Linked DNA regions of Neodiprion lecontei. The protein of the gene in region 1 purifies or fractionates together with the protein of each later gene. This does not show direct contact. Links are inferred from orthologs where the notes say so. Each region holds a gene or a part of one and is shown in the gene's direction. Other genes may lie near its edges. The genes, in order: splicing factor 3B subunit 3, splicing factor 3B subunit 6, coiled-coil domain-containing protein 97 and structural maintenance of chromosomes protein 1A.

Region 1 (9,296 bases):
AAGTCAGGCGTTCGCAGGTTTTAATATTTAAACCTGTAAATACACAAGAATCATCACTACTATATTGTTTCAAAATTCTATTGAGTATATTGCAATATTAACGGGGTATATAAACAATAATAATCTCGTCACTTCCGTGATAATTCCAAACAAGAAATACAAAAGTTCAACAAATTATTAATTGCACGTAAATTATAGACATGTGGTTTCAAAACAATAAATGAATATAGGTGTAGAGATATTCGATTGACTATAAATGGATTAATAACAATTATGCCATACATTATAACGTACAGAATTGAAAAAGAATTCTCTTCGTAGACTTATCATTTACCATTATCGAAGATATATTCATTCAATCCCATAAAACTCACTTTTTTGTAAGGCCTCAGACTGTTTACCATATGGTTTACACATCGCTGGTCTAACACAAGCTTTCATCCGCGCCATGTTCTTCATCACTTCCGCAAATGCTCTTACAATCTTTTCTTGTCCACCTGTAAAGTGTAAAAAACAATGACTCAAACATACCATATCATTAATAAATAACTCATGTAAACAGGTAAATAAATAGCTGCCCACCTTCTGAGTTCGATGAAGACGATCGAGAGCCCTTGTCGCTGTCAACGGACCAAGCTCCGTTATGCAGCGCGAGCAGATCTTTGTTGGCATTTCCCAAGCTTTGAAGATTGCCCAAAGCACCTAACCCGCTAAGTCCATCGAGATTGTCCAAATTTGCCCTCAGAAAATCAGTCAATTTATGATCTGATATTGGAATGCTGGGTATGAGCGGCTCGTAGTGCTGTTTGCTGGCACATTTCTTTTCCTGAGAACTAGGCCGGTGAGGAATATTAAGTGATGGACGACTTGGAGGACGTTGGAGATTCATTTGGTTTCCGCTCCGCATTTCCGACGAGCCAACCAAATCCACTACCGAATTGGTCATGTGGGTATTGGATGGAGCAACACTCATAGTCTGTGGCAGCAGAAGAGTTGCATTAATCATCGTCTTACACTTTGCCTAAATTTTATGTTATGTTCTAGCACAAGCGCATGCAAAGTCAATACAATTCAATAAATTACCGTCTGAAAGTCAGCGTTGTGGGGAAAGCTAGAGCGTAAAAGAGATGCTGTTGTTTCGTTGTCTTGAATGTAAGTCGGACCTATGTGATTCATTTTCTGACTCATCTCGAGCTGATTTTTGTAATAACGACACGCAGGATTGGGACAATTCTGTACCACTTCAATGATAAACTCTTTCTCCATGCCAAAACACTCTCGACCAATGGTGTACGACTCCATAACGGCTCTTACGGTACCTTCCATACCAAGGTGAAGACCGTGTGGGCCATTCATGTGCTTGAGCATAACTGCGTTTGCAAAATGTTCGTATGGCAATATTATCTTGCCATTTTCTCGTAGGACCAGTCTGCCTTGCGAATCTAAGGCAACTCTGGACGCCATCATCCTGAAACAAGATTGAGTGTGCTTAAATTTTTGGTGCGTTTTCCTATTTTTCTATCATTTTTCAAGCATGACATTATGACTTGGAATATATTGACTGATTCTCATCTCACTGAAGGTAGGTGGTGCTTGGTAACATGGAAGCCTCCTTAAGCTCGGTAAAGCATTGGAGTAACTCGATGCTCGGATTCCAACCCTTGTTTTGCAAATAAAGCTGCAGCAGCATGTACATTTTCTCAGTGACATATCCAGCCCCGTTCGCTCCCCCCGGATAACCACCTCCAGGAGGTCCCATCTCTGTCTGCATACCCTTAGCCACTATATTTTTCATAGTTTCCGCCAAGTCCATTCTGGAGATAATAATAATAATGATTAAAAACACACATTAGATAATGTGCGATATACGTGGTGCTCGGAATTGTTTGGGACCAAATAACAAGCTATTGTTTACCTCAGAAAATCTGTCAAAATTGCGGAATCAGTGACATTTTATTCCACGGTGCTTTTTTCTCTGTTTTACTTCGTGTTTATTGGTACACGAGAAATTTTGTAGAAAAAAAAATAATCGGTCTGTAGACATGTTTGATATCTGCCACGAATCCCGGGTACGCCGCGAGGCTAACGATATTTATTGCTTTCGGCCATTGTTGTTTTCGGCAAATGCAGAAGCAGCGGGCGGCAGTCAGTCGGTGCCCAGGGAGTGTGAAAAAAACATTAGCCGATTAAGCCGCCGCCCCCCTCCTGTCTGGCTTTATATTATTTCGGTTAACTTACCCCAGCCGGTATCACCGCAGCATTCACAGCACCGTTGTTATCACAAATTTAGGGCCTAATCGCCCCTATACTATCATTTTACAATTAATTAACTACTTTGCATTTGCAAATATAACATAAATCGCAATTATTATATCCGCGAGTATAGCTTGCCCATACACCCGCCAGGGGCGGTTGGTAAATTTTCTACGGTTTGCTCCCTGGAAGCTTTTAGCTTATACGTCACTTCCGCGACGCTCATCAGCGACCAGACGTAACTTCCGTTTTCGATCCCTCCCGCGGTGGAACGACGGTCACCGCCATTTTCATTTCATCTCTCCGAGTCGCCGTGCCGTGTCCACGTTTCGGCTACGCGGTCCCGAAACATTAAATAAAAATCCGCTGACATCGGCGGATTTTTACGAATTCGAAACACCTATCAGGTAAAGTCTTGTTCATCTAATCAGTCTCTCTCTATATCATGTCGTATTTATCTTCCCAAACAACTTCGTAACCCGAGAAATGCATTTTCATCAAAACTACGTATAGGCGCGGCGGTTTTTTTTTTCTACCCGACAGCTTATTCATCGCGATTATTTCTCTTTGCAGCATGGCAGCCTGAAACTTATCTGCGAGCACGAAGCTAACGCTGACAAATTAAACTTCTTATAACGGATTATCAGCCGCATTCACGATGTATCTGTATAATCTAACACTGCAGCGCGCCACCGGCATCACCCATGCCGTCCATGGTAATTTTTCCGGCAGTAAAATGCAAGAGATACTTGTGTCACGCGGCAAGTCGCTCGAGCTGCTTAGGCCCGACCCGAACACTGGAAAAGTTCACACCCTCTTGACCGTCGAGGTTTTTGGCATCGTCAGGTCTCTTATGGCCTTCAGGCTTACGGGGGGCACCAAGGATTACATTGTCGTTGGGTCCGACTCTGGTCGCATTGTCATTCTAGAATATATTCCTGCTAAAAATGCCTTCGACAAGGTGCACCAAGAAACCTTTGGCAAAAGTGGTTGCAGAAGAATTGTACCTGGACAATATCTAGCCATTGATCCAAAAGGAAGAGCAGTTATGATCGGTAATTATGAGAATTTAAATTTTTTACTCAGCTTAACTGTGACCAGTTGTGTGCTAAATGATGCTGATCTTATGATCCGTGTTTCAACTGATTATCCATTGATTACAAACTTACAAACTGATGGTACTATTAAAACTGGTAGTTTTTTTAATTGAATCAATGTAATATAATATTTTCATTTCTGACGGTAAAATTGGCTTTTTCAGGTGCTATCGAGAAGCAGAAACTGGTTTACATATTGAACAGGGATCCAGAAGCCCGTTTAACGATCTCGTCTCCCCTTGAAGCCCACAAAAGCAACACTCTAGTCTATCACACAGTTGGTGTAGATGTTGGATTTGAAAATCCAATGTTTGCCTGCTTGGAAATTGACTATGAGGTGAGATACACATTCCTTGTGATTTATTTGCAAGGGTTGTGAAAGGTAATTAATTTTGCTTTTCGGCTTCCCTGTACAGGAAGCAGACAGTGATCCGACTGGAGACGCAGCTGTTAAAACTCAGCAAACGTTAACCTTATACGAGCTTGATCTTGGATTGAATCACGTAGTGAGAAAGCACAGTGAACCTCTAGAGGAGCATGCAAATTTCCTTGTTTCTGTTCCTGGAGGAAATGATGGTCCCAGCGGTGTCCTTATCTGTTCAGAAAATTACCTAACCTACAAGAATCTTGGGGATCAGCACGATATCCGTTGCCCAATTCCCAGACGTAGAAATGATTTGGACGACCCTGAGCGCGGGATGATCTTCGTCTGCTCAGCAACTCACAAAACCAAGAGCATGTTCTTCTTTCTTGCCCAAACTGAGCAAGGGGATATTTTCAAAATCACCTTGGAAACTGATGAAGATATGGTAACGGAAATAAAACTCAAGTATTTCGACACAGTGCCTGTCGCCACAAGCATGTGTGTCCTGAAAACAGGTTTCTTGTTCGTCGCCTCTGAATTTGGAAATCAGTAAGTCTAATTTTTAGCTGAAACATCACGTGATCTTTTTATCAATCCGTTTATCCAACCAATTACCAGTGGTTTCAACTTTTGATACTGATGATGTTAACCATTTATGGCTATGTCGGTTCAGCTTCCAATTGATCAGACGTGTTTGTAATCGTTATACTTAATTGCAGCTACCTGTACCAGATTGCTCATCTTGGTGACGATGACGACGAACCAGAGTTCAGTTCAGCAATGCCACTTGAAGAAGGTGATACCTTCTTTTTTGCTCCCAGACCACTCAGGAACTTGGTTTTAGTTGATGAAATGGACAGCCTATCACCGATCATGACTTGTCAGGTACCTAAAACTGAAACTACTTTTTCAATATCCAAAATTAGGGAAGCATTTCCAAGTAGGAGATCGAATCATCATTGCACTTTCTCCTGAGTTGTAATGCGATAAAAAAAATTCCTTGTCGCCTTTGTTTTGTACTATTACAAGCCGAAGTGAATCAAGGAATGATAATCACTTGAGATGTTTTACAATCTCGTTATCCGTGTTTTGGGACAGCAAAATAGATCATTTTGCTTGCTTCGTGTATGCAGGTCGCTGATTTGGCCAATGAAGATACTCCTCAACTGTACATGACTTGTGGTAGAGGTCCAAGATCCACGCTGCGAGTTTTGCGTCATGGACTAGAAGTTTCGGAAATGGCAGTCAGTGAGCTGCCTGGAAACCCAAATGCAGTCTGGACAGTGAAACGAAGAGTTGACGGTTAGTTCAAGTTTTATAGTTCAAAAGATAAACAGGAACGTTTTGTTGATCCACTTGCAAGAAGATGCAAGCCTGTCGTAGCCCTGGAAACGTGCAGTGTGTTCGTTTCATTTCATTCATTTGCAAGATTTTTAACGCAGTATTCAAATCCGCTAGCTAGAGTCCGTTTAAAAAGAATATTAACGAACCTGGTGGCTTGATACACTTTTATCAAACACCAGTTCTCTCTTTCAGGCTGCCAGCGAGCTAGTGGTTGACTGATGCAATGCAGAAAGACTAAAAGGTGAGGATCCTATCGATGGGTCTGGGATAAGTCCGACCTGAGAAACAAAACGAAAAAAAAACTTAGTAAAATGCGTCGCCCCTTGTACACCAAGATGCGGTCATTTTTCCGCGCGTCTCAACGTTCTTTACACATTGGTTACTTAACTTTCCTAATAATCTAGACGAATCCTTTGATTTCGGTTACAGAAGAGTATGATGCATACATCATAGTGTCCTTCGTCAATGCCACTCTTGTGCTTAGCATCGGTGAGACTGTTGAAGAAGTAACGGACTCTGGTTTCCTCGGTACGACACCTACCCTCAGTTGTTCTGCCCTCGGAGAAGACGCCTTAGTACAGGTAAATTTATTGTTCGCCTTCAAAATTCTAAACGTAATGTCAAATGATCCTAAAAATCTAGTCATCTTATTGATTGAGATACAGCACATCAAGTTTATAAATAATAATGCACTGCGGTATCTCCAGCGCCTGGTCAACCACGCGTTGGTCGCAAAAACAGTGCTAAATCAAAGTATCGGGTTTCGCATCGTTGGAGCACACTGTCACTCAAATGTATTCTCCTGGTATATTAACCCGAACACTTATCACATGTAACTATCGGCCGCATATCCAATATATGCCTCGAGTACAACGATGTGTAAATTGAATGTCCATTCAATTTCTTTCCCTTTGTTGCAGGTATATCCTGATGGAATTCGTCACATTAGGGCCGACAAACGAGTAAACGAGTGGAAAGCACCGGGTAAAAAGACCATTGTAAAATGCGCTGTGAATCAACGCCAGGTTGTGATTGCCTTGACGGGAGGAGAACTGGTATACTTTGAGATGGATCCTGTGAGTTAGATTTCTATTTCTTGTGGATAGATCGCACAGTTTGTTCTCTCCACGATGTACCTTATTCTGTGGAGATGTATAACGTGCAAAAATTAATCCACTTTTGCTTCTTCTGTCCAGTTAATACTGGTCTGAGTGAAACAAGGGTGAACAATATGCCGTTTAATGTTCAAATTTTGAATAAAATGAAGACCTGCAATTGAAGTTGTATTTTATTACAGACTGGCCAACTGAATGAGTACACAGAGAGAAAGAAAATGCCATCCGAAGTGATGTGCATGGCCCTTGGTAACGTCGCCGCTGGAGAACAAAGATCCTGGTTCCTTGCTGTTGGACTTCAAGACAATACAGTCAGAATCATTTCCCTAGATCCGTCTGACTGTCTGGCACCCAGAAGTATGCAGGCCTTGCCTGCAGCTGCTGAGAGTCTCTGCATTGTTGAAATGGGGTCTAAGGAAGCTGACAATTCGGAAGATTCTGTCTCTCAGCAATCAAGTTTATACCTGAATATAGGTAATTTTGAAACAAATGCTCTAAGATTTTTATAAATCCTGAAAATTATCTGATGACCAAACGACAGTTCCCTGAATATTGATGAAAAACCTGCAGTGCTGATTATCTTTTGCTTTTCAACGAACTGACAATTGTGTGATTTCAATTATGCTTAGATTTGTATCTTGTTTTTCAGGTTTGCAAAACGGCGTACTTCTAAGAACGGTTTTGGACCCGATTTCCGGTGATTTAGCCGACACGCGAACTCGATATTTGGGGTCCCGACCGGTAAAATTATTCAGAATAAAGATGCAAGGCAATCAAGCGGTGTTAGCGATGTCCAGTCGCTCTTGGCTCAGCTATTATTATCAAAATCGTTTTCATCTGACTCCTTTATCGTATGAAAGTCTGGAGTTCGCGTCCGGTTTCAGTTCCGAACAATGTCCCGAAGGCATAGTCGCTATATCCACAAATACCCTGAGGATTCTAGCTCTCGAAAAACTTGGTGCTGTTTTTAACCAAGTCAGTTTCCCGCTTGAGTACACGCCACGTAAATTTGTGATTCACCCTGATTCTGCCCATCTAATCATCCTCGAAACCGAGCATAATGCATACACTGAAGAAACTAAGCAACAGAGACGCCTGCAAATGGCCGAGGAAATGCAGGAGGCCGCTGGAGCCGAGGAAGCGGCTGTCGCCAGGGAGTTGGCCGAAGCTTTTCTGTCTGAAGAACCAAATGAAGCAGTATTCGGCGCTCCTAGAGCCGGCCCGGGGCTGTGGGCCTCAACTTTGAGACTGATGGCACCTGCCACTGGACAAACCTTGGAGCTACATCGATTGGAACAAAATTACGCCGCTTTATGGTATAGTTAATTTATTTATGCACCTCATTGTTTTTATTTCAAGTTTATTTCTGTAGCTCTTAACTAAGTGTATTAATTATTTTTACAGTTTGTCATTAGTCAGATTTGCTAATCAGGGTGATCAACAATTCCTCATCGTTGGTGTAGCAAAGGACTATCAGCTCAATCCTAGAGTGAGCAACGGCGGGTTTTTATACACCTATAAGTACGTAAAATAATGCTATTTCGCTATTGTGTTGTCGATTTATTTATTTATTTTTTTCTTGCCAAGTAAAGTTATGATGAAAAATATCACATTAATTTCTGTATCTTGATGATATACCTGCAGTTCTGAAAACACAAGTCAATATTAATATTTCGATATAACCAAGAAAGAATTTTATTAATCTAATTTTTATATTTACTTCATTCGGTTCCAGAGTAAACATAGACTGTACAAACCTTGAACTTATGCATAAAACTGTGATGGACGAGGTTCCTCTGGCAATTTGTTCTTACCAAGGACGAGTCCTGGTCGGAGTTGGAAGGATGTTGCGTCTGTATGACATGGGCAAGAAAAAACTTCTTCGAAAATGTGAAAACAAGCACATTCCAAATGCCGTGGTATCAATAAACGCCGTAGGTCAACGTATATACGTTAGCGACGTTCAGGAATCCGTATATGCAGTTAGATACAAACGACAAGAAAATCAATTAATCGTATTTGCTGACGATACGCATCCGCGATGGGTCACGACAACTTGCGTTCTTGATTACGATACTGTCGCAACGGCTGATAAATTTGGGAACATTGCAGTGGTAAGTATCTTTATTAACTATCATTGAATTTCAATCAACTTTATTTTTACCTAAAAACCAATTAACCCCATTCTTTTACGCTATTTTAGATTCGCTTAGCTTCAGGAATAAATGATGACGTCGACGAGGATCCAACCGGAAATAAAGCACTCTGGGATCGCGGACTGCTGAACGGAGCGAGTCAAAAAGCCGATACCGTGGCGTGTTTCCACATAGGAGAGACTGTGATGTCATTACAAAAGGCTACGTTGATACCTGGAGGTTCTGAAAGTTTAGTGTACACGACGTTGAGTGGAACAGTTGGCGTCCTCGTGCCATTCACGAGTCACGAAGACCACGACTTTTTTCAACATTTGGAAATGCATATGAGATCGGAACATCCGCCGCTCTGTGGTCGCGACCATCTTTCATTTCGATCTTATTATTATCCTGTCAAAAATGTAATCGACGGTGATCTTTGCGAACAGTTCAATTCGATTGAACCAACCAAACAGAAGGGTATATCAGGTGATCTGGAAAGAACGCCCTCTGAGGTCTCAAAAAAACTTGAGGACGTCAGAACTCGATACGCCTTCTAAGCTTATTATGAAAGGGGTCTCCCTTTGAGAAACCACACCGTAAAGTGAAGTCGCGCTCGACTGAATGACCCTTATTCTGTTGGAAACATCATTCAGACCGTATAAGGTAACAGGGTAAAAATATTTTACGGTATTGATCTTGTACTTTCGACTTCCCTTTGTTTAACGGCGGGCTGTGAGTAAAACTCGCTGATGTTTTTTAAGCTAGTTAACTTTGGTAAAAAAAAAAGTAGCAATACTTGCTATAATGAAATACTCAATTATCGCCCAATACATGTATTAATAAGAGAAATTGTAGAAAATGTAATTCCACGAGTATGAAACTCTGCTTCGACTGCACAAATTTCATTGTTTAGTCTATGAATTTGATTCGACGTCGAATTTCGTTAGAATTAAAAAGTGAAACGCCGACCTAACGAACTCCGAAGTTC
Region 2 (5,267 bases), on another chromosome or scaffold:
ATAATGTGAATATTTATTTAGATTATCAGAAATTTCGGTACTTCGGTATTTACCGAAATTTCGATATTTCGGTATTGGTATTGATAGAAGGTTCCCATACCGATACATTTCGAGGAAGGAGATACCGAAAAAAATTCGATTTACCGAAATACCGCGCACACCTACTCAAAACCATCGATTGAAGAGCACATTAGATCGAATTCAAGCGTAGAAATGTGTCACAGATGATGTGAAATACAAGTCATCGTCGGCAAACTTGTCGTCGCGGAGGGTGTGAACTTTTTAAGGGGGGAAACCGGTTTATGAGGTCGAAATTTTGCTGTTTTTCATGATTTTTTTTAACCAGGAAGGAATAATCACAAATTGTTTAAACTTGGAGGATATTTTATTTATGTTTTCAAGTACACTTTAAAAATTTTTTCAAACGATTTCCGCCGGAAATAGTGCAGTTACCGCGTGCAGTCCATGGGCGATTGCCATCCGAGCATTTGGCTGGCGTACATCCCTGACGTCGCAATTTTTATCCGTAATCAGCAGGATTTTTTTTTCATTAAAAACATATTTTCTAAGAATATGAACCTAATTTTGATCAAACAAATTGAAAATTGCATGTTTTTGAGGTGTTTGAACACAATGTCATGTTTTTATACTATATTTTTTCATCTTTCTTGCATAAAAACATATATTTTTAATAACAATATAATCCCCGAATTTGGTTCATGTTACGTGGAATTGAATAAAGAATATCTACACCAAATTTCAGAACGATTGATCAATAACTTTTTGAGCTAGAATGTACGCTAGTCGAAGAAAAGTCGTTTCGAGAAAAACGCGTTTGAAATAAAATGTAGCGAAAACGAGAAATTCAAGGCAGTAATTAATTATAGAAAATGCTCACCGGTTAATCAGCTATTCTGGCACCATATAGCAATCCCTCTTCTTGCTCATATGCGTCATTCTATTATTCAATAATAGCACAGCGGTATTGAGGCAGGTAGCTGGAAAAGAAGGGCCTGGGCGACCGCTCCGTTATAATTACCGTGCGCTTCTTCACGGAACCGACGGGCGGTCACTTAAGTGCTCATTGCATTCGAACTAATGGGAATTTTGCTTTGAAAATTTGACCACATATTCTTGAATAGTTATACTAACGATTCATGCAATAAACAAAAAGACGATTTTACGATCGGTCTAAACTGGTTTCCCCCCTTAATTAACGTGGCTAGAACGGGGGTTTGGGGGGGGGGGGGGGGGGGGTAAGATAACAAAATTGTAGTCAACATAGAATAAAAAAATTCGTTTGGACGTATTCAAATAAATATCCTCTAAAAATCGTGTTTTCGGTTTTTAGAAATTTTCAAATTCGTTCAAACCGTAAGCGAGGAACCGTTTCGACGTCTCGATTTTTTGCCGTTTTTGCCGGTTAAACAATTTTTCCACCCCCTGTAGCACTCAGATTTCAAAATTTCAACAAGATATGTTTATTGGAATAATGTAACGCCTCTACCCTGAAAATTGCTAGCTGTGGGAAATTTTTTTAGGCTTTTTATGAAAATCGAGCCCTATTTGACTGGCCCAAGTATGGTAGGTGTAAAAATTGGAACTCGAATATATTTAAGATAAATGCATATCGCATTTGGATTTTTAATTATCTGAAATAAGTATCGTGTGATACTTGATTATGTATTTTTCTGAAAAAAAAAAATCGCTACGTTGAGGGTGTGGAATTTCCACATGGTGCAAGATCTAGGTGTCGAGTTCCGCCACACCATGCCCACAAAAATTGCCGGCGCTGATAACAGGCATTGGTTGAACTCTAATTGAAATTATTCCTCTAAAAATTATGGCGCATCTTGTTATATATTTCACAAATCTCGAGTATTTGACTTGCTTCTTTATGCTTCTGTAGTTTGTTGCGCGCGCAGCAAATTACAAAGGTTCACTTCGAGTACGACCTGTTGCCACCAGAGGGCTGGCAACGCCGACTCACCGCTGACCGAAGCTCTTGCGTTCGGCGACAGTGTTCATCAGTGTTCATTTGGACAGCGCTCTGACAAGTCGTTGATTTCGAAGCTCTGTGAGTTGAATTATTGAGTTTTGTTAATTTGATCTCTGAACCTGACTCAAGTACACCGCAATCATGACGATGGCAATGTTACAACGGCGAGCCAACGTGAGTATACAACGCTTGTTGAGGAAATTCGTAATTATAACCGTCTGAATAATTCTAACCTTCCGTTCCTTCGACTCCTAACCTCACTTTCACTCCGAATCAATCCCTACGTTTATTCTCTTACATTTATACGTTTACCTTGATAGTATTAAGTGTTTGTTTTAAACTATTTTTTCAAATTTATAAGGTTCGGCTCCCCCCAGAGGTCAACAGAGTTTTGTATATAAGAAACCTGCCGTACAAAATCACCGCTGAAGAAATGTATGACATATTTGGTAAATACGGAGCAATACGGCAGATCAGAGTGTAAGTTAACCTCATTTAATGTTAATTCTACTTGTTCTAAAAAGTTCTGCATTTTTATATTCAAAAAATTATACTATCCACGTTATTCTGCTTCTGTTAATTCATGGCGATGAGCTATTATCAATACCGGGGTAGAACGAAATTCACTGCTACTACCGTACTCGCTGGAACTAGTGGAACTACGAATTTGTTTATCATGTGGCAATAACTTCAGTCTTTGAAAATGAGCTTGAGATATACGTGCATTTATTATGCAGAGCAATTTGGACACGAGTGTAAAAATTTGAGTTTTTTTGATTGCAGAGGAAATACGGCAGAGACGAGAGGAACAGCATTTGTGGTTTATGAAGATATCTTTGATGCAAAAAACGCCTGCGATCACCTGAGTGGTTTCAATGTCTGTAACCGTTACCTAGTGGTACTGTATTACCAAAGTAACAAGGCGTTTAAACGCGTCGACGTTGATAAGAAGATGGAGGAAATCGATAAGTTGAAAACGAAGTACAACCTCAACGAAGAAAAGAAACCGTAATGTTAAGAAATTTAAGTGATATTTTGAACAATTACAAAGTATCGCTACTGTGAATGCGGCAGTTACTGCATAATCATGAGTGGTTCAATTATGTGGCAAATGTAAGTGTCTGCCTGACTTGTGTGAAGTTATTTCCTATCAAAGCGAGAGGTATGATAAGCCCGATCCTATTCTCTACTGCACTGTTTGCAGTTTGTTGTAAATATAAAATGATTTTATATTGCATATTTATAAATCATCACCTAATTCGTGTTACATTTAATGCATCACGCACAAGAACAGTGTAGAAAAAAACCACTTTTATAACCTAGTTTCTAGCATTAGTAAACAGTAAGTGTGTTTATTTTTAGTAGATTGCTACAGGTTTTTGAAACAAGTGGCATTGAACCAGTAAAATCGACGTGATATTTAATGACGATGAAAATTTCAATCACGAAACAAAATGAACTGCTGTTTCATTTTCTATTAATTTTCAAATTGCGAATTTAACTTGTGAATTTCAAGTGTTTGAGTACAAATAAGGTAGTTTGTCATTTCTTCATCCAGTTAAAAAATAAAAGTTTTTTGATGTTGTAATTCGTAACTACTATTTAGTGGTATCAATATCGAAATAAAAACGAAAAATGCCGTTCAATATGATTTTTCTCATTAATAATTGAGAATTACGCACCTCCAAACGATCCATCTCTCATTTTGCTGAACATAAATTGAATGCGAATAAATTTCGAGGGATTAAAATTAGACAGAGAAAAGTCTGTGCATATCAATTACTTAGTTTACGCATTGAATTCAAATTAATGCTACCGGGTATGATCGAAAATTTAGAATAAAAAACAGAATGCTAATGTCGAAGCAATTTAAAAATCTTAATAACAAAAATGAAGACAGACATTTTTTAAATGAAATAGCAAGATTGAAACTATTGCAAATCAACAGAAAATATTTTTCTGCTTCATTTAATTATATTCTATGAACTTATGACCGTAAAAGATTGTTTACAATCAGTGTATAGCGAAATCGCATAAATTAGGAGTAACAAGTTCTTTTGCCAGCAATTCCGAAAACGACGAAGTAAAATCAGCTACAAAAAATAATTAGAACATTCAAAAGTACGTTAGGATCACGAAATACGTCAATTGATACGACTTTTTCACACGGAACTGAGTTATTTCAAGCAAAGTTGCAATATCCCATGTTTATAAAAAATCCCGCTAAGGGATTTGGCTACGATAAAGAACGAGCTGTAGAATCGGTCGATTTTTTGTGCTAGAAAGTGCAACTTTAGAAAGTATTTTCCGCAAGGAGGGGGAATGGGAAATATAGCAATGCACAGTTCTTCATCGATCGGAAGCTTACAGCAAAGTAATTATTTTTACAAGAACATTGAGATCAGAAGCGCGATCAGCGACCTGGAAGAAACAAAATTTTAGGCCAGGTTCGTCATGTGCGAGTAGTAAAAACAATCTTCTTCTCGTGTAGAACACTCCGCCGTAACTCGCCGCATACTTATAGTCAAACGATTAACATTTAGATCTTCGGATCTGGAAATCATGATTATGCCGCAAAATATGTTCTCTGCATCATTCAACGGCTGAGCAGAACAACATCGTACCTCAGGATTTGTTTAAACGACATCGTATTCGAGAATTAACATTACGTTACTAAATTATAATTCAATTCCGCAGTGAAAAATTGGTTTTATTTTTATGGGTAATATTCATTCTGTTCTATGAATTAGTTATTAACTGTGATTTTAAATGATTATATTCATCAAATTATAAATAGCAGTTTCGTTATAAAATGACTTTATTAATTAATTATGTTAAAAACTAACGTCAAACAAAAATAATTTCAATAACTTTTTTTCACTGAATGATTGTCATCGTCTCTTTTTAATGTAATAACGCATGTCACCCTTAATAAGGTTTACGATTTGGTTGGTTTCTGGAAAGAAACCAGTTCAGCTTCTTTGGATTTTATAATCAGTAATTATATAAGTTAAGTAGCACTTCTATTCCTTTAAAAATTATAAGTACCCAGCAGTGGTGTAACCTCGGAAAATTTCACGAACCTAATTTTACCTTGAAATACGATTACGAAACAAATTCTGAAATACGACGTTATTCTGCTTAGCCTTTGATATATTCAATTTTAGACAACATGAAAATGACCTTCTTGGTTATAGATAATTCAAGACGCATCTCGGTATAAAAAAACGTCCCGTCGAATTGAGTCGCATTCGATTGTTCTTTATTT
Region 3 (5,833 bases), about 18 Mb from region 1:
ATTCCGTTGTATGAAAAATAAACACCTAACTCACCTGCTAATGTAGATAAAAAAAGTAAAGCTGCGTACATGTAACCGAGCGAGAGCTGTTCGCTTTTATCTTCAATAAATCCAACCAGTTTATTTAGCAATATGGGTCCCATAAATCCGGAACAATCGGCAATAAATTTCAAAATACCAACGGCGTAACATTGGATACCAAAACACTTGTGCAACAGTTTCAATAACGAAATGCGAGGTGCTTCTGACCCAACTAATGTTTCTGGAATATATGACGCCGAAGTTGCATCAACACTGAGGTAACCTCTTCGTTTCTGGATCTGGAATACCAAATTTTGCAGTTGAAATGTTGAGCGACTTAATTTGCCTGACAGTACCAATGATTCGTAAAGTTTGAACAGCAAGCCACCTTCCTTCTTACATCTCTCAACTAGATTTTAACAGATTAAACTTATACTAAATATAGAAATGCCATATTTATGCAAATGGAAATAATCTTTTCGTACAGACCTGATCATGGATATAGCGATTCACATCATGGCTGACACTAGAGGTACTGACATCAACGGGGAGATCATACAAGTCATCAGAATGATTCAGGAGTCCTTTCACTCCTTTTTGCATGAGCGGCGTAACCCAGTGAAACAGCAGCTTTGAAATAACAGTTGCATCTTCCATAGCAGTTCCGAGATAACTCGGGTCTCGCTCTTCAAGAAAGCCATCGTGAAAGAATGTAACAGAATGACCATGACTGTTCAAGAGAGCTGTGTGCTCCCCTACCTGTGACAAGATTTTTTTTTTACATGTTTTACTGAGTATCTAAATTTGCTATGCCAGTTGCCAGATATTACAGCGTCTGTGTTGTTCAACACCGATGGTAAGAATTTCAAGAAGTAAGGTATTGAGGGTACATTTTATATCAGTTTTCTGGAGAAACGAAACTAAAAATGAAAGAAACTTGAAGAAAAATTTCGGACTCTAAAACGATGACGCTAAAACATAAAGGTGTAGAAATACTTGCCTGACTATGTTCGACGAAGCTTGCACTGCCTGGGATTAGCGTTATAGCGTACAAGATTAAGAGCATTACAGTGGCGATGCTGAATCCAAGTGAAAGATTTGGCAGTGTATCGTCAAGGGGAGCGTGTTTGACGTGAGAACGTAACAGCAGAATAGAAATACCCATTAATAGAAAAAGTAGAGCTCTGATGGACACAGGACCGCGTGGGTTAAACTGATTTCCATTGCTAAGGCCTAATACAAAACAGAAATGAACAACCCAAGCTAAGCCTTCAGTTCCGGCTACCAAGTAATCAATAGGCTTTGCCGACGTGGCTACGTTTTCGATGTTATTATATACTACATAACTATGAGTATCTTCTCGAACAGCTGAAGAACTTGTCGCAGTATGTGGAAGACTGTTGTTTTGATGGAAAATGCCTTTGACCGCAGTACCAATTTTTTGCATAACTTCTTCAGCTTCTACAACAATGTTAGGTTCATTTGCATCTGTCGTAGGCTTGACGACGATGAATGGAATATTCAAATTACTGTCACTGTCAGCACTTTTATCATTGATATTCGCAATGTCACGATGCAACGGAAGCATTGTTGCATTGCTCAATATGATGTACGCTTTGATGATAGGCAGTAATGCTAGACATGCGGTTATAAAAAGTCTGAGCACAATTACATAATAAGTGCGGTTTGACCGTGAAATCAACACCGTTCGTTTTCCGCAATAGTAGGCTGATAGCATTGCCAAAAAAGCAAGGACTGGAATCTGTAGAACATATAAGAAAAATTAATTAGGGGTAATATCCTTCAAGAATCTTGTTTATCTACATTCACTCAGTCAGTCTGTGATTTAAGTAGTTCGAAAGCTTATATTTATAATTATAATCCACTGAATAAATTTCTACCTGCAGGCATAACTGCTGAAAGCATGTGCCAAGGTCGCGTGTATTGGGATTAATGGGTCTTATGCTACCTCTGATCCCGCACAGCTCGGTCCAGTTCCAGTGCCATAGTCCATTATCATCGCCATCCATTGTCATATAGTCCATTGTGATTGAATGAGGAACTGCGAACAAATTGGTAAAATATCTCTTATAGCCAAAAATGTAGCCAAGATTATACAAATCCGAAAATGTGAAGACAAAAGCTCATCCCCCGGCATCTTACGCATAAATTTCCTTATGAAAACTTCGATTGAATCGAAATAACTAAAATTAATCCGGCGGATTGTAGAGTGGAAACAAAAACCAACAACAATTCATGGCCAAAAGAGGACAATTATTAGCTGCACAAAAGCAAACACGTCGTTTGACACGTGTGCTGCAGGGCGCGTATTCGCTTATATTCTCATGTAAAATTCTCTGCAGATCTCGTGAAATCCGTATTCGGCTTAAGATTAAGAGGAATGAAAGTATATTTCTACTTTTTTTTAGATCGTAGAGAGGATTGAAATTGATTTAAACGGCTCGAAAATCAATTTCACAAAATATCGAAGTGGCAACTGGCGAAAAGCCACGGATTTTGACAAGTAAACATAACCTCAAGACATATTTTGTATTACACGATAACGAATTACCTGGTCTCACGAGCTGTTCTTCATAATAAACTCTCCGTTTCTTACCGCTGTCACTTTTCAATCGAATGCAAACTCTCGCTGAGAAAAGTCTTGTGCATGAAATATCGAGCCGACGGCTTATTTTCTTTGTCACCGAAAAGTTCCGAAGGAAACTTCCCGCAGTTCTTATATCTTGTCTTACCTATTCGCTTACACCATTGGTGTAAGTTACCCGCAGTGATTCACTAGCAGACGACAGGGAGTTTTAAGGTTATGTTCGGTGAGTTGACGCGGGTGACGCGCAGTCTGCGTGACACAGTGACAAACTTAAATAAACTTTAGAGAATTGTGACTTTGAGCCGGTGATATTTGCGTGATATTTATTGATGAGTAAGGACGAAGGTTCGACAATAACACCCGCAACAGCAGCAGCAGCAGACGATAATCAAGAAGCGAATATGACGGTCGACAGGGAGGCCGGAGATTCTGAAACGAGCGAAACCGCCGAGCAGGCAATTCTCTTCGAGGAGATGATCGCCTGCGTGGCAAATTCCAAGGCGATATTCAAGAGCCAGCAGAAGAACGACCCGGACTTGACAGTTGAGGAAAAGGCGAGCATCGCGAGCGACCTGCTGCACAAAAATCGCTCCATGTTCCTCTCCAGGTTCGGCAGGTTTCTGCGCGGCGAACATCTTCGGTACTTCAACGAGCCTCTTGATCGGCCGGACTACGAAGTAGTATTCCACGTGAACAGACTGCGCCGCTTTCACAACCGCTCGCAGAGGCGAGTCGACGTGAAAAATCGCAGGTACCAGGCCTTAAAATCGCTTATTGAAAAGGGCGAGTACTTCAGCGAGACGGAGATGATGCGGAGGAATCCCCTACTTTACGAACACCTGGTAGGCCAGTACCTTACCGAGGAGCAGAAAAAGGCCAGAGACAATATCGACACCCAGAATATTACGTTCGTCAATCTTCTGCTCGAAAGCATTCAGCGGGACGGGACCAGGAACTTAAAGAAGGAGCAGCAGGATGCCGAGGACGATGTCATGGAAGAGAACGACTCGGACGACGATTTCGAGGGTGCCGTTGACCCCGAGGATGACTCTGAAATTAGGGGAGACTCCCGGTGGGGCGAGATGCCCGGCCAATCGTCAAACCCGTACGAAAAGGAGGCCAACGAAAAGAAAACTGACAGCTTCTACCGCGAAATTTCAACCAAGGAGCGGCAAGTTCTTAGGGACGAATTCATTACCAATATGTATCACAGTTTCTTGAATGGGAGGGACAAGGACTTCGACTACAGGTATAACATCTTCATTAACCAAACATTGCCGCAAATCAGAATGTATTAAAAGCGCAATTTCAGTATTTAAATCGCAAAAACGAATGCCGTGGATTCTAATCGTTCGAAATTTAAATTTGAAAATAAGCTGCACGAGCGGTGCTGCCATCTATAAAAAACCGTTGGATCGATAGCGTTGTGTTCTGTGTTTCAGCACCGTCGACGACGAGGAATCGTATGATAACGTAGATCTGCGGACCCAGGATGAGGAGGAAAAGTATTTCGACTCGGAATCACCAGAGACAATTGAAGAGGGCAAAATGGAGGAGGGAGAATCCAGTGAGGATGAACTGGATAAATATATGAAATCGTTGCAGGTTAAATAAAAATATTGATTACGGAAGAACTTGTTTGCACTATTCTTTTAATTCTTGGCTCGGTACAGATATTTGCTAATTTTTTTCAAATAGGAAACGCCCACTCCGATCGAGCTCGCCGACAAAGTTGAGAAGCAAACGATACATTGAACGGCTTCAGCGTAATTCCTTTATTCATGAGTTTGTAAATATGTATCCGTTTTTTGTTTTAATTAAATTAATTTTCTTTATCACTTACTAATGATCATAAACCTAAATAGGGTCTTCACTTATTGCATTACTATACCTAAGTTCAAACATCCTAATCGTCAAAGCTGTCACAAATGCACGATAAACTTAAGCTTACGTATACTTTGAATATTCAATGCGAATCAATACAGTTGTAATTGTATAATAAACCTGTGTATATTAGATGACGAAGATGTTTTCTGCCTTAAATTCCTTTGGTATTGTAAAAACAGACGAATGTCCCGCTCAGGTTGGTAAATATTATTGCACGGAATCATCTCTCTCATAGGCGAAGTGCGGAACAATTTCGTCAATGTCCGCCAGACCTGTTGACCCAAATTGCCAATTAATTAAACGAGTATCTGCTGTCAAACACAGTCATCAACGCTCATGCGAAGTGATAATAATAATGATAGTAATCACACCGCCGAACGAAGTACACTCTTTGAGTCCGCTTATTCGGGGTTCACATGCTCGATTTTCACTCGATAATCATACCTGTACGCCCGTTTGCAAAATCGTAATTGCTCTCTATTCACACCGATAAGGGTTCAACGCAATGTACGTTAATACACACGTTGACTGAAGAATAAACTTCAGTCAACGATACACATTTGCCGTTCACGTTCAAATTTGAAATATGTAATATCATCACACGTTGCAATCAGATCTCGCGTGTACAAAGATACCAAGCTTTAATTTTATTAATTTTTTTCATTCTCTCTCACGAGCATCATCTTCGGGTAGTTACATCGTGATTCACTGTGAAAGAACCAATATATATGTAACGCCTAACGGATATTTCTTGTGAGAATAAAGATTGAATTATTGAGAGTAAACAGTAGGCAAACACACATACACGTGACTTTTGCAAACTAAATTCTCAATTTCAAAACTTCCGTTACAGGTGAATTTAGAACTAAAATAATCTTGCCGTCACCTTGTGTGGCCCAAAACAACATTCGATAACTGACCAGTGATACAAATGATTTTACAGCTGAAATAAAACTCCAAGCGAATCAATGTTGGCCATCTTGATTTTGTATACCGGCATTTGAAATGATGCTGATTTTCTTTTCTTTTCTTTTTTTTTTGCTACCTAGACCGAGTCGTATATTTGGCGCCGGACATTGGATCAAACGAATCATTATTGCCGTCAGAAACTGGCAAAACATATTCTACAATGCGGTAATTAGTTAGTTCCGAAAATTAATTTAGAAAGTTACGCGCCGCAACAATAAGCGCTAAACCGGGGCCAGCACCTGACGTCCGTTAAGTTAGAATAACCACACGTACAAAATCAATCAAACTTGGTAGGTATGAAGATGCTCTTTAGTTGCTATTTTGTTCCCCAAGTCTCCATTTTGTTGC
Region 4 (9,263 bases), on another chromosome or scaffold:
ATTTCAATCACAGGGGTATTTTGCTGTTTGTTTTGTTTTAAGCTCTAGCAAAATTAGTTTACATACGAAAAAAAAGGAAATACAAAAGTAGGAAATTTATCTGTGCACGATTTACACTATTCGTTGGATTGGGCCATACATCACATCCTATCACTGCTTACCAACTAGGTATGAATCTGAAGAATACCACGGGTTTACACTATAGAACTATAGAATATAATAGGTGTGTGTACAGTATATCTTACGTAGTAGAAACATTGAAATTGTATATATATAAAATTGACCTAACAGTAAATGCACTTTGTTCCAGTTGTGGCCATCAGCCAAAAACAAAAGGACAAGCTATATGATATAATACGTACACTGTTTGAGATCAAATGATTACATCTTGAAGAGTTTTGTGAGTATTAATTACAATTTAGCCATCAGTTGTCGCTTAAGTCTCCTCAAAGTAATAAGATCTAAGTAATGTTACAATGCTCTGTCCTGATCGCAACTTCACAAATACTTCCAGCAATGCAAATTCATTCAAGTTGTTCTAGTAAATAACATTCGATTTTGGTCCGTTGAATTGTTTCGTTTGTGTCATGTTATTTGTGGCTATTATAAGCATTTTTTGTTGTGTCAAATGGCATCGTCAAAATATGCTTTAAGTAACTGCTGTATATGTGAGCAAGTAACGGCAGATAGTTCATGACAAACAATGTGTGCAGTCACTGAAGTAACCTAATCTAATGGAATAAGATGTTACAGATTATTACCTGGGATGAAAAATTTCCGTCGAATAGAGCGAAGGATATTCATAGCTGATAAAAACTGTTCTCAGTCAAGAATTATGGCAAATTGAATTAAAACGATCTTGACCTCGTGCATCAATTAGCAGCAACTCCGTTCTTAGGCAATGTGAACTTCACTAGGCGTGTCAGCATTGAAGTGATACATGGAATTTGTTTCTGCTGATGCATAGTAATATTGTCAGGAGTATTAGATTCAAAATCAATTGCAACGCGCTGACAAACAAAAGTCAGGAGTGTTAGCAAATCCCATCGTGAGCCATTTTCGCAAAGCTCCAAGCACAAAGCTTGCATGAACCAGGATCCTCGGGTCGTGTTCCTCCAAGAATAGAAACCTAGAAGAGAAGAATGAAATAAATATTGCTAACAATGTACTTACAAAGCCTACAAATGACAATGGTAATTACCTGGTATGGTCGAGTAGGCTATTAAAAAATCTGCATGGCTTGGTATGCGAAAACTTTGGGAACCATGTCCGTCTGTTTCTGTGCGTTCTCTGAGGCTAACACCAGGATCTAATTTGTCTCCCTGGCATGCCTGGATAAAGAACATTTTAGGTTTACCAGAGAGTGTCGGACACTTGTCTGCGGTAAAGTATGACCAAATTGTGTCAGCTTTGTAAGGAGTGTCATGGGCGTATAATATACCCAGCTCTCCATGAGACAGTACAGCCACAACTAAACAATCATGATCTGAATGATCCATTTCTGAAACTGATTCATTTCTCATGTTAGTATGCCTCAAGGATAAGTGATGAAAATTCTTGTAGGATGAGTTGGCAATTTGTAAAACAGGATCAAGCATTTGATGACACACAAACCTTTTTCTAGTTTCTTCTGAATATCCTTGAATATTAGATTCTGAAAATCTTTGACCTCGAATCCAAGTTTGACTAGACAGTTCCTTAGCGTTTCACAGTCAACGTTAGTGCCAGATCTGGGCTTGAGGTGATTTATGGTGAAGGATTCGTGGTTAAAAATCAGAGCTATACCTCGCTTGGAATGATTCATGTTGTAGTGAGTCGCGTAGCGCATTGTCGGACTATTTTGTAATTGATTTCCATAAGACTGCGCGTTGCTCCTGAAGGAAATTAAAGGTAAACAATCTTACTTCAGTTCTATTTGAAGGTTATATTAGGTTAGGGTTACATTTGGTAGATTTGATAAAAATTTTTCCAACTTACCTTCCGTAACCAAAGGCATCTCCGTAGTCATCCCCTTCGACAGAACTGTCGACGCAACTCTGAATTGTCGCAGACATTATTTTTTTCTATCTTTAACACCTCCAACAAGTATCGATAGGTTTTATCAATATAAACAAACCGCTTTACATGCAGCTTTGTGGATACACTATCCACACGCGTAACACTGTGACGATATATGGACGATATTGCCTATGCGACCATAGGTATGAAAATGTCGGACGTAGCAAGCAATGACCCTGAATGACTCATCCGTCGGCTTCTTACCTCCTCATGTTCACAAATTATCCTCTCAGGCACAGAGAGCTAATTTCGGAACGCACTTGCAGAGGAGGATTCGTGGTGAGTATTCCAAAATGGTTCCAAAGTGGTTTCAACTCCCGCGCATAGTTCCCGCCACGGTTACCGCGGTGATATATGACAAAACATCAGACTGATCGGAACGTTGAACGGAGATTCTGGCGCTTGGACATTCGTTTCTGTATTCATTTTCTCAGCGTCGTAGCGTCAGCATTGTGGCGTCTCGCGCCTGCCACGAGCTACGGTTTCGATGATTTTTCGTTAGAGGTATATTTACGTTTGGCTGCGACATGTAAATAGTTTTCAGTGTCAACACTCATGTTTTGTTGGTTAGTATTTTAGTGGAGATTCGAGAGGCGTGGACACTAGTAAACAATAACCGCGGTGATCCGTACGGTTCGCATCTGACAGGTTATTGGATACAACCATAACCAGGATGCCAGCATTTCTGAGTTACATTGAAGTCGAAGACTTCAAATCCTACAAGGGAAAACTTAGAATTGGTCCACTTAAGCCCTTCACGGCAGTCGTAGGTCCAAATGGATCCGGTAAGACCTTCCTACCAAATTCTAAATTGTCATGATCTCAAGCTTGCAACGTCGTTACTGAACATATTTTCAGATCTTTGACTCTGTCAAATTACAGGCAAATCAAATTTCATGGATGCCATCAGTTTTGTCATGGGAGAAAAAACTAGCAGCCTTAGAGTAAAAAGATTCAGTGAGCTCATCCATGGTGCTTCAATTGGTCAGCCCGTTAAGCGAAGGTAAGTAAAGGCAAATAGTCATGACATTTTTTAGTAAAATAGGATGAATGAGTATGGGGGTAAGTCCAAAAGATAGCGTTCAAGGTATAAATACTCATCAGGATGGAATTGGACTTGAACAGTACATTAATTAACTTCATGATTTTATATTTGAAGAAAATGGTGCCTCTGCCATCAATGGCTTGACCTATCTCTCATTTAGCCTTTAGATTACCATATGTTTAATTGTTGATCGGTTTAACTTTCAGTGCTTCGGTTACAGCTGTATTTAAAATGGAAGATGGTACTGAGAAGAGTTTCATGCGGTCAGTGCAAGGCTCCGCTTCCGAGCATCGTATCGATAATATGGTGTGTTTATTACTCATAGTTATTAAATTCAAATACATCTTTGTCCCTTAATTCATCAAAGTAGATCATTAGGTTTCAAAGCTTGTGTGTGAATAATCAATGATAATTAAAATGTGCAATCTTCTCATTTTGTAATTTCTTAAACCAATCTTGCATCCTGTAGGTTGTAACTAGTCAAGTGTACCTTAACGAGTTGGAACATCTTGGGATAAATGTGAAGGCTAAGAATTTCCTCGTCTTTCAAGGGGCTGTGGAGTCGATAGCTATGAAAAATCCCAAAGAACGAACAGCTCTTTTCGAAGAGATCAGCAATTCGGGTGCACTGAAAACTGAATATGAAAGGTAAATCTGAAATTTCTTACTCACGAATTGTAGCTCAAAACGGTTTGATTACATTGTACTCAATGTCTATATTTCAAACCCACTCAGGCTCAGAAGTGAGATGTTCAGAGCGGAAGAAGAGACACAGTTCTCTTATCAAAAAAAGAAAGGTGTAGCTGCTGAGAGAAAGGAGGCAAAATTAGAAAAGGAAGAAGCCGAGAAATACCACCGTTTAAAAGAAGAATGTGTAAGTGGACTGAACAACTTGATTTTCCCCCAAATTTACCTCTTGGCTACACATATTTTGATTTCTTCATTCTGTTTATCAACATCAGGCAGAAAAGCAGGTGGAGTTACAGCTCTTCAGGTTGTTTCACAATGAAAAAGAGATTGAAAATTTAGAAAACACTCTTAAAAAGAAGCAGCATGAAGTGGATAAGATATTGAAGAAAAAGGAAAAAGTGGATGAGAAATTGCGAGAGCAGAAAAAAGAGGCTGGCAAACTAAACCGTGAATATCAAAAGATTGAACAGGATATTAGGGAAATGGAAGCAGAGATATCCAAAAAAAGGCCCACTTTCATCAAGGCAAAAGAGCGTGTCACTCACATGCAAAAAAAAGTCGAATCTGCTCGCAAATCTTTGGCAACTGCTCGTACTGCTGACGAAGCCCACAAGAAAGACATAAAGGAGCTTCACGACCAGTTGTCCCAAGTTGAGCAAGCTAAAAGTGCCTATGAGGCGAATGTCGCCGGACAATCACAGTCACAGGGGAGAGACGTACAGCTTGAGGATGAACAGGTATATTTTTAGAGTAAAATGTGCAATATAAATTTTTTAACATTAAACCAGAAAAATTGGTATGGTTAATATTATTTAAAAATGATTCAAGGTCCGAGAGTATAATAATCTGAAAGAAGCGGCGGGAAAACAATCAGCACGCTACTTGCAGATGCTCGATTCCATTAATCGTCAGCAAAAATCCGACCAAGACAGGCTTGATAATGAGGGTAGAAAAAAAACAGACGTTGAAAATAAGCACAAGCAGAAAGGTCACATGAGAGACGAGGCTCAAAAGCGTGTAGAAAAGCTTGAGGAGCACATTAGAACTTCAGAAGCTGCGTTGGAGGATCAGAAGAAGCTCAGAGCTGATCTACAATCAGATGTGGGAACATCCAAAGACAAGATACAACAGATACAGCGCGAGTTGGAAAACATATCTGAACAGCTTGGTGATGCCAAAGTTGACAAGCACGAGGTTTCAAGGAACAAAAAGAAGACAGAAATTGTTGAAAATTTCAAACGTCTTTATCCTGGTGTGGTGAGTAAAAAATGTCCATTGTTTTGGTGGTAAAACTGTATTCTATTTTATTTATTTGGTTTAGTACGACCGCATGATCAACATGTGCCAACCGATCCACAAAAGATTCAACGTAGCTATTACCAAGGTCTTGGGGAAGTACATGGAAGCTATTGTTGTAGATACTGAAAAGACAGCAAGACAGTGCATACAGTATCTTAAGGAACAATATTTAGAACCAGAAACGTTCTTACCACTTGATTATATTCAAGCAAAGCCATTGAAGGGCAGACTTAGGTATGTTAAACGCCGTTCGGATTTCTGGAATGTGAAAATTATCTTACTGCTTATCAATTCTACATGGTGCTAATAATTATTTTGCAGAAACATTCAAGAGCCCAAGAATGTCAAGCTTTTATACGACGTTCTCGCTTTTTCGCCAAAGGATATTGATAGAGCTGTTTTATTCGCCACTAATAATGCTTTGGTTTGTGAAACTCCCGAAGACGCCAATAAAGTTGCGTATGAGATGGACAAAAAAACTAGATACGATGTAAGTAAATGCATATGAAGAAAAAATCGCGAAATATAAATCTCACGTTTATTTACTCAATTTAGTGTGTCGCACTTGATGGAACTTATTACCAGAAAGCTGGAATCATTTCGGGTGGAAGTTTGGATTTGGCAAAAAAAGCAAAAAGATGGGACGAAAAACAGATGTCACAGTTAAAATCTCGGAAGGTAACACTACCAAAATTAAATGCTCACACATCTGATTGTTGACGACCATAAAATAACAACCTAGAGATGCGCTCGTTGATTTTCAGGAAAAACTCACAGAAGAACTAAGAGAGGCTCTTAAGAAATCTCGCAAAGAATCCGAACTTAATACAGTCGATTCTCAAATTAGGGGACTTGAGACCCGCCTGAAGTACAATAAAAATGATTTGGTAACAACGGTAAGTGGACAGTACGGCTATACAATTAGTTTTTAACCATTTTGGCAAATCACGTTCACTATTTTAATTTAATCCGTAGAAAAAGCAAATAGCGGATCTCGAAGTGGAGCTGCAGGCACTACAAAATGAGTTAAATCTCTTTGGTGTGAGTAATCGATGAGTATTGGGAGAAATATTCCCATGATAATCGATTAATTGTATTGATATACTTTTTTGTAGCCCACAATAAGCGATATTGAAAAAACAATGGCCACCAGAGATCAAGAGATCCAAGCTATCAAGGAAAAAATGAACAGTGTGGAGGACGATGTATTTGCCAACTTTTGCGAACAGATCGGTGTTGCCAATATTCGTCAGTACGAGGAAAGAGAATTGAGGTAGAGTCCAGGAACCTGTACCATCTTTTTTTTTTTTGCCCTCTTAATTTGAATAAAATCAATGCTATTCAGCAATTATCTCCCAAACGTCTGTCAATACCTGCAGATCCAGCATAATCCTTGATCCTTGGTCCTTCAATCGTTCCACAATTGCTGATATCATTAGGTATCAATTTATGAGTGAATCACAATGAAATTCATGTTCAATCTAAATACCAAACACTCGTGTCACAGATCACAGCAAGAGCGTGCCAAGAAACGAATGGAATTCGACAACCAAACAAATCGTATTTTGAACCAGTTAGATTTTGAAAAACAAAAAGATACCGAAAGTAAGAATATTTTTCATTTTCCAATTTTGAAATACCTAATGAATTAATATCTTGGGAATTAATTTTAATCTGATTCTACAAAACAACAGGCAATGTACTTCGCTGGGAAAGAATGGTTCAAGATGCTGAAGATAAACTAGATGCGGCTCGTCAAACCGAGTCTCATCAACTGACTGAGAAAGAAAATGACGAGGTACAAATGAAGAAATTAACATCGACTCGTATTAACAAAAAGCTAGAGATGGATCAGGAAGAGGAGGAAATTGGAAAGGCAAGACGTGAAGCTGGTGCTATTGCAAAAGAAGTTCAGGCTGCGCAAAAACAGCTAAATTCAATTGAATCAAAGATTGAACAAAGGAAAGCAGATCGACATGCTATTTTGATGCAATGCAAGGTGGGTAACTTAGATATCCACAAGGTATCTCAATTACTTTCTAATTAGTTACATCCTTGAAAATCACGATAAAATCATCATCCAATTTTCAGATGGAAGACATTGCAATACCCATGTTGCGTGGGAACATGGAGGATATCACACAAGAGAGTACTGTGGCTGGAAGCGAAACAGGCACAGACTCTACATTGAATACTCAACAGCAGTACGAACGGGAAAGTTTAATCACCATCGACTACGGTCTTCTCCCTGACAGTCTAAAGGACATAGACGATGACGATATTAAAAAGACGAATGACAAACTCAATAGAGTAATAAACGAGCTTCAGGGAACAATACAGAGAATACAAGCTCCAAATATGAAGGTTTGGATTTACATTTTTATTGTTGAGCTAAATTTAACTTGACTCAGGTCACTTCTAGGTCTGAAATGAATCTGATAATTTGGAATAAATATACTTCTCGATATAGGCGTTGCAAAAGTTATATGCGGCTAAGGAAAAATTGCAAGAAACGAATGAGGAGTTCGAACAATCCCGTAAAAAGGCTAAAAAAGCTAAAACTCAGTTCGAGAAGGTTAAGAAAGAGAGACACGATAGGTTCATGGCATGTTTTGAGCATGTCGCCAATGAAATCGACCCGATCTATAAGGTAAATACTGAATATATGTCTACATACTCTTACCGTGTACAGATTTAACATTCTTGCTTCACTTTTGATTTATATTTTGACTGTTTTTCGACCCTTATCAGTCTTTAGCAAAGAACCAGTCCGCCCAGGCATTCCTTGGACCAGAGAATCCTGAAGAGCCGTATCTGGATGGTATTAATTACAATTGCGTTGCTCCGGGTAAACGATTCCAGCCAATGTCCAACCTTTCTGGTGGTGAAAAAACGGTTGCGGCCTTGGCGTTGCTGTTTGCCGTTCATAGGTAATTGCTTTCAAAGTCAAATCGAGAAGTTGGTGAAGGTATAAAAACGGCCTAAACCCGTTGAAGTTTCGGTGTGGTTTCCTTTCGATCTAGGATCTCTATGCTTCGATGTCATAAATTCTTTTACTGTCGTAGCTTTCAGCCAGCACCCTTTTTCGTTCTGGACGAAATCGACGCAGCCCTGGACAATACGAACATTGGAAAAGTAGCGAGCTACATTCGTGACAAGACTAGCTCTCTACAGACGATTGTTATTTCGCTCAAGGAAGAATTTTACTCTCACGCAGATGCGCTCGTTGGCATCTGCCCTGACGTAAGTTGTTCCGCACACGATCCCGACTCTATCCGCGATCGTAGTGTCTCGCTTGCTTCTACATGAAATAAAAATGAGATTCATTTCGATCGTGTATAGCACTCTAAAGTGCAAAAATTGAGTTTTCGTGATTTATCTTCACATACGTCTATTTGGCGATGTTACTAACGGCCTGTTCTGTTTCACAGGTTGGTGAATGTCTAGAGAGCAAAGTCCTAACACTTGACTTGACAGAATATCCAACTAATTCACAGGCGGTCGAACGGGAACCCGCAGGAATTTTCCCCCCAGCACCTATTATGAATTTGTAAAATTATCTTCAACGTAAAAGTTGGGATTAGGGATTCGGGTTTCCTGGTAATAACATTTGGAGAACGTAACGAAATACTTAATGTCAATTTTTATTTTATTTCCTTATGTTTGTTCTGTATTTTTGCACGTATCATCTGTGTTATGATCTGTAGTCTAAGCAGAATATTATAAGGAGACACAGTCTATGGGTTATTATAAAAGTTTATAAAAATTCTTTAACCATTTCGTAGTATTTTCAATATTTAGATATACCTACAACCACAGATGCGTTGATATCCATGTTATAATCTTATCAAAAAATGAATAATTTATAAATGTTTAATTAGCCTTCTTAACTGTTTATTTTTTTTTTCTCGTGCATACTGCAACAATCATTTTATAGAATACCGAATATTCAGTTTCAAGTTTTTTGCCAACTGTTACTACTGTATACCAAATTCAAAGATTACTCACATCTATTTTATTGTTTCAAAGCGTTTTAAGCCCGCAAAATTGTACAAAATTTATCTAATTTTCTAAAGATTGCCAATCTATTCTACCGGTACGGATAGGAGCGCATTCCAGCAACGAGCATTTCTTCCTTGAATACATGCCCAGATATTGAAATGCGTCAGTC

What was found.
Region 2: the proteins of splicing factor 3B subunit 3 (region 1) and splicing factor 3B subunit 6 fractionate together in Homo sapiens (co-fractionation; 5 studies listed by BioGRID and IntAct, with this or other methods). This does not show direct contact. The link is inferred for Neodiprion lecontei from reciprocal best matches to the Homo sapiens genes SF3B3 and SF3B6.
Region 3: the proteins of splicing factor 3B subunit 3 (region 1) and coiled-coil domain-containing protein 97 purify together in Homo sapiens (affinity purification with mass spectrometry; 3 studies listed by BioGRID and IntAct, counting the BioPlex papers as one, with this or other methods). This does not show direct contact. The link is inferred for Neodiprion lecontei from reciprocal best matches to the Homo sapiens genes SF3B3 and CCDC97.
Region 4: the proteins of splicing factor 3B subunit 3 (region 1) and structural maintenance of chromosomes protein 1A fractionate together in Homo sapiens (co-fractionation; 3 studies listed by BioGRID, with this or other methods). This does not show direct contact. The link is inferred for Neodiprion lecontei from reciprocal best matches to the Homo sapiens genes SF3B3 and SMC1A.

Annotation. Positions count from the first base shown.
Region 1 is NC_060262.1:21,777,847-21,787,142, forward strand, and holds the start of splicing factor 3B subunit 3, read left to right. Parts: upstream 1-2,510; 5' UTR 2,511-2,660; intron 2,661-2,826; 5' UTR 2,827-2,911; coding exon 2,912-3,308; intron 3,309-3,514; coding exon 3,515-3,687; intron 3,688-3,766; coding exon 3,767-4,263; intron 4,264-4,433; coding exon 4,434-4,599; intron 4,600-4,847; coding exon 4,848-5,016; intron 5,017-5,487; coding exon 5,488-5,639; intron 5,640-5,978; coding exon 5,979-6,134; intron 6,135-6,355; coding exon 6,356-6,647; intron 6,648-6,822; coding exon 6,823-7,489; intron 7,490-7,577; coding exon 7,578-7,694; intron 7,695-7,908; coding exon 7,909-8,287; intron 8,288-8,376; coding exon 8,377-8,865; 3' UTR 8,866-9,296. Other genes in the region: uncharacterized protein LOC107222893, read right to left, coding at 375-497, 583-976, 1,084-1,468, 1,578-1,813. UniProt on the Homo sapiens protein: Component of the 17S U2 SnRNP complex of the spliceosome, a large ribonucleoprotein complex that removes introns from transcribed pre-mRNAs.
Region 2 is NC_060261.1:29,430,311-29,435,577, forward strand, and holds splicing factor 3B subunit 6, read left to right. Parts: upstream 1-1,998; 5' UTR 1,999-2,140; coding exon 2,141-2,173; intron 2,174-2,360; coding exon 2,361-2,479; intron 2,480-2,782; coding exon 2,783-3,011; 3' UTR 3,012-3,645; downstream 3,646-5,267.
Region 3 is NC_060262.1:39,744,162-39,749,994, forward strand, and holds coiled-coil domain-containing protein 97, read left to right. Parts: upstream 1-2,836; 5' UTR 2,837-2,958; coding exon 2,959-3,878; intron 3,879-4,071; coding exon 4,072-4,234; intron 4,235-4,327; coding exon 4,328-4,384; 3' UTR 4,385-4,650; downstream 4,651-5,833. Other genes in the region: ATP-binding cassette sub-family C member 10, read right to left, coding at 35-320, 511-780, 1,022-1,783, 1,923-2,066. UniProt on the Homo sapiens protein: May play a role pre-mRNA splicing through the association with the splicing factor SF3B complex which is involved in branch-site recognition.
Region 4 is NC_060260.1:1,031,381-1,040,643, reverse strand, and holds structural maintenance of chromosomes protein 1A, read left to right. Parts: upstream 1-2,350; 5' UTR 2,351-2,562; intron 2,563-2,629; exon of another isoform or gene 2,630-2,706; 5' UTR 2,707-2,731; coding exon 2,732-2,843; intron 2,844-2,940; coding exon 2,941-3,061; intron 3,062-3,309; coding exon 3,310-3,409; intron 3,410-3,572; coding exon 3,573-3,751; intron 3,752-3,838; coding exon 3,839-3,977; intron 3,978-4,065; coding exon 4,066-4,530; intron 4,531-4,621; coding exon 4,622-5,050; intron 5,051-5,114; coding exon 5,115-5,326; intron 5,327-5,413; coding exon 5,414-5,582; intron 5,583-5,647; coding exon 5,648-5,770; intron 5,771-5,856; coding exon 5,857-5,988; intron 5,989-6,067; coding exon 6,068-6,133; intron 6,134-6,207; coding exon 6,208-6,365; intron 6,366-6,599; coding exon 6,600-6,697; intron 6,698-6,786; coding exon 6,787-7,091; intron 7,092-7,183; coding exon 7,184-7,456; intron 7,457-7,562; coding exon 7,563-7,742; intron 7,743-7,843; coding exon 7,844-8,022; and 6 more. Other genes in the region: caspase-1, read right to left, coding at 873-1,129, 1,202-1,507, 1,615-1,874, 1,978-2,054. UniProt on the Homo sapiens protein: Involved in chromosome cohesion during cell cycle and in DNA repair. Central component of cohesin complex. The cohesin complex is required for the cohesion of sister chromatids after DNA replication.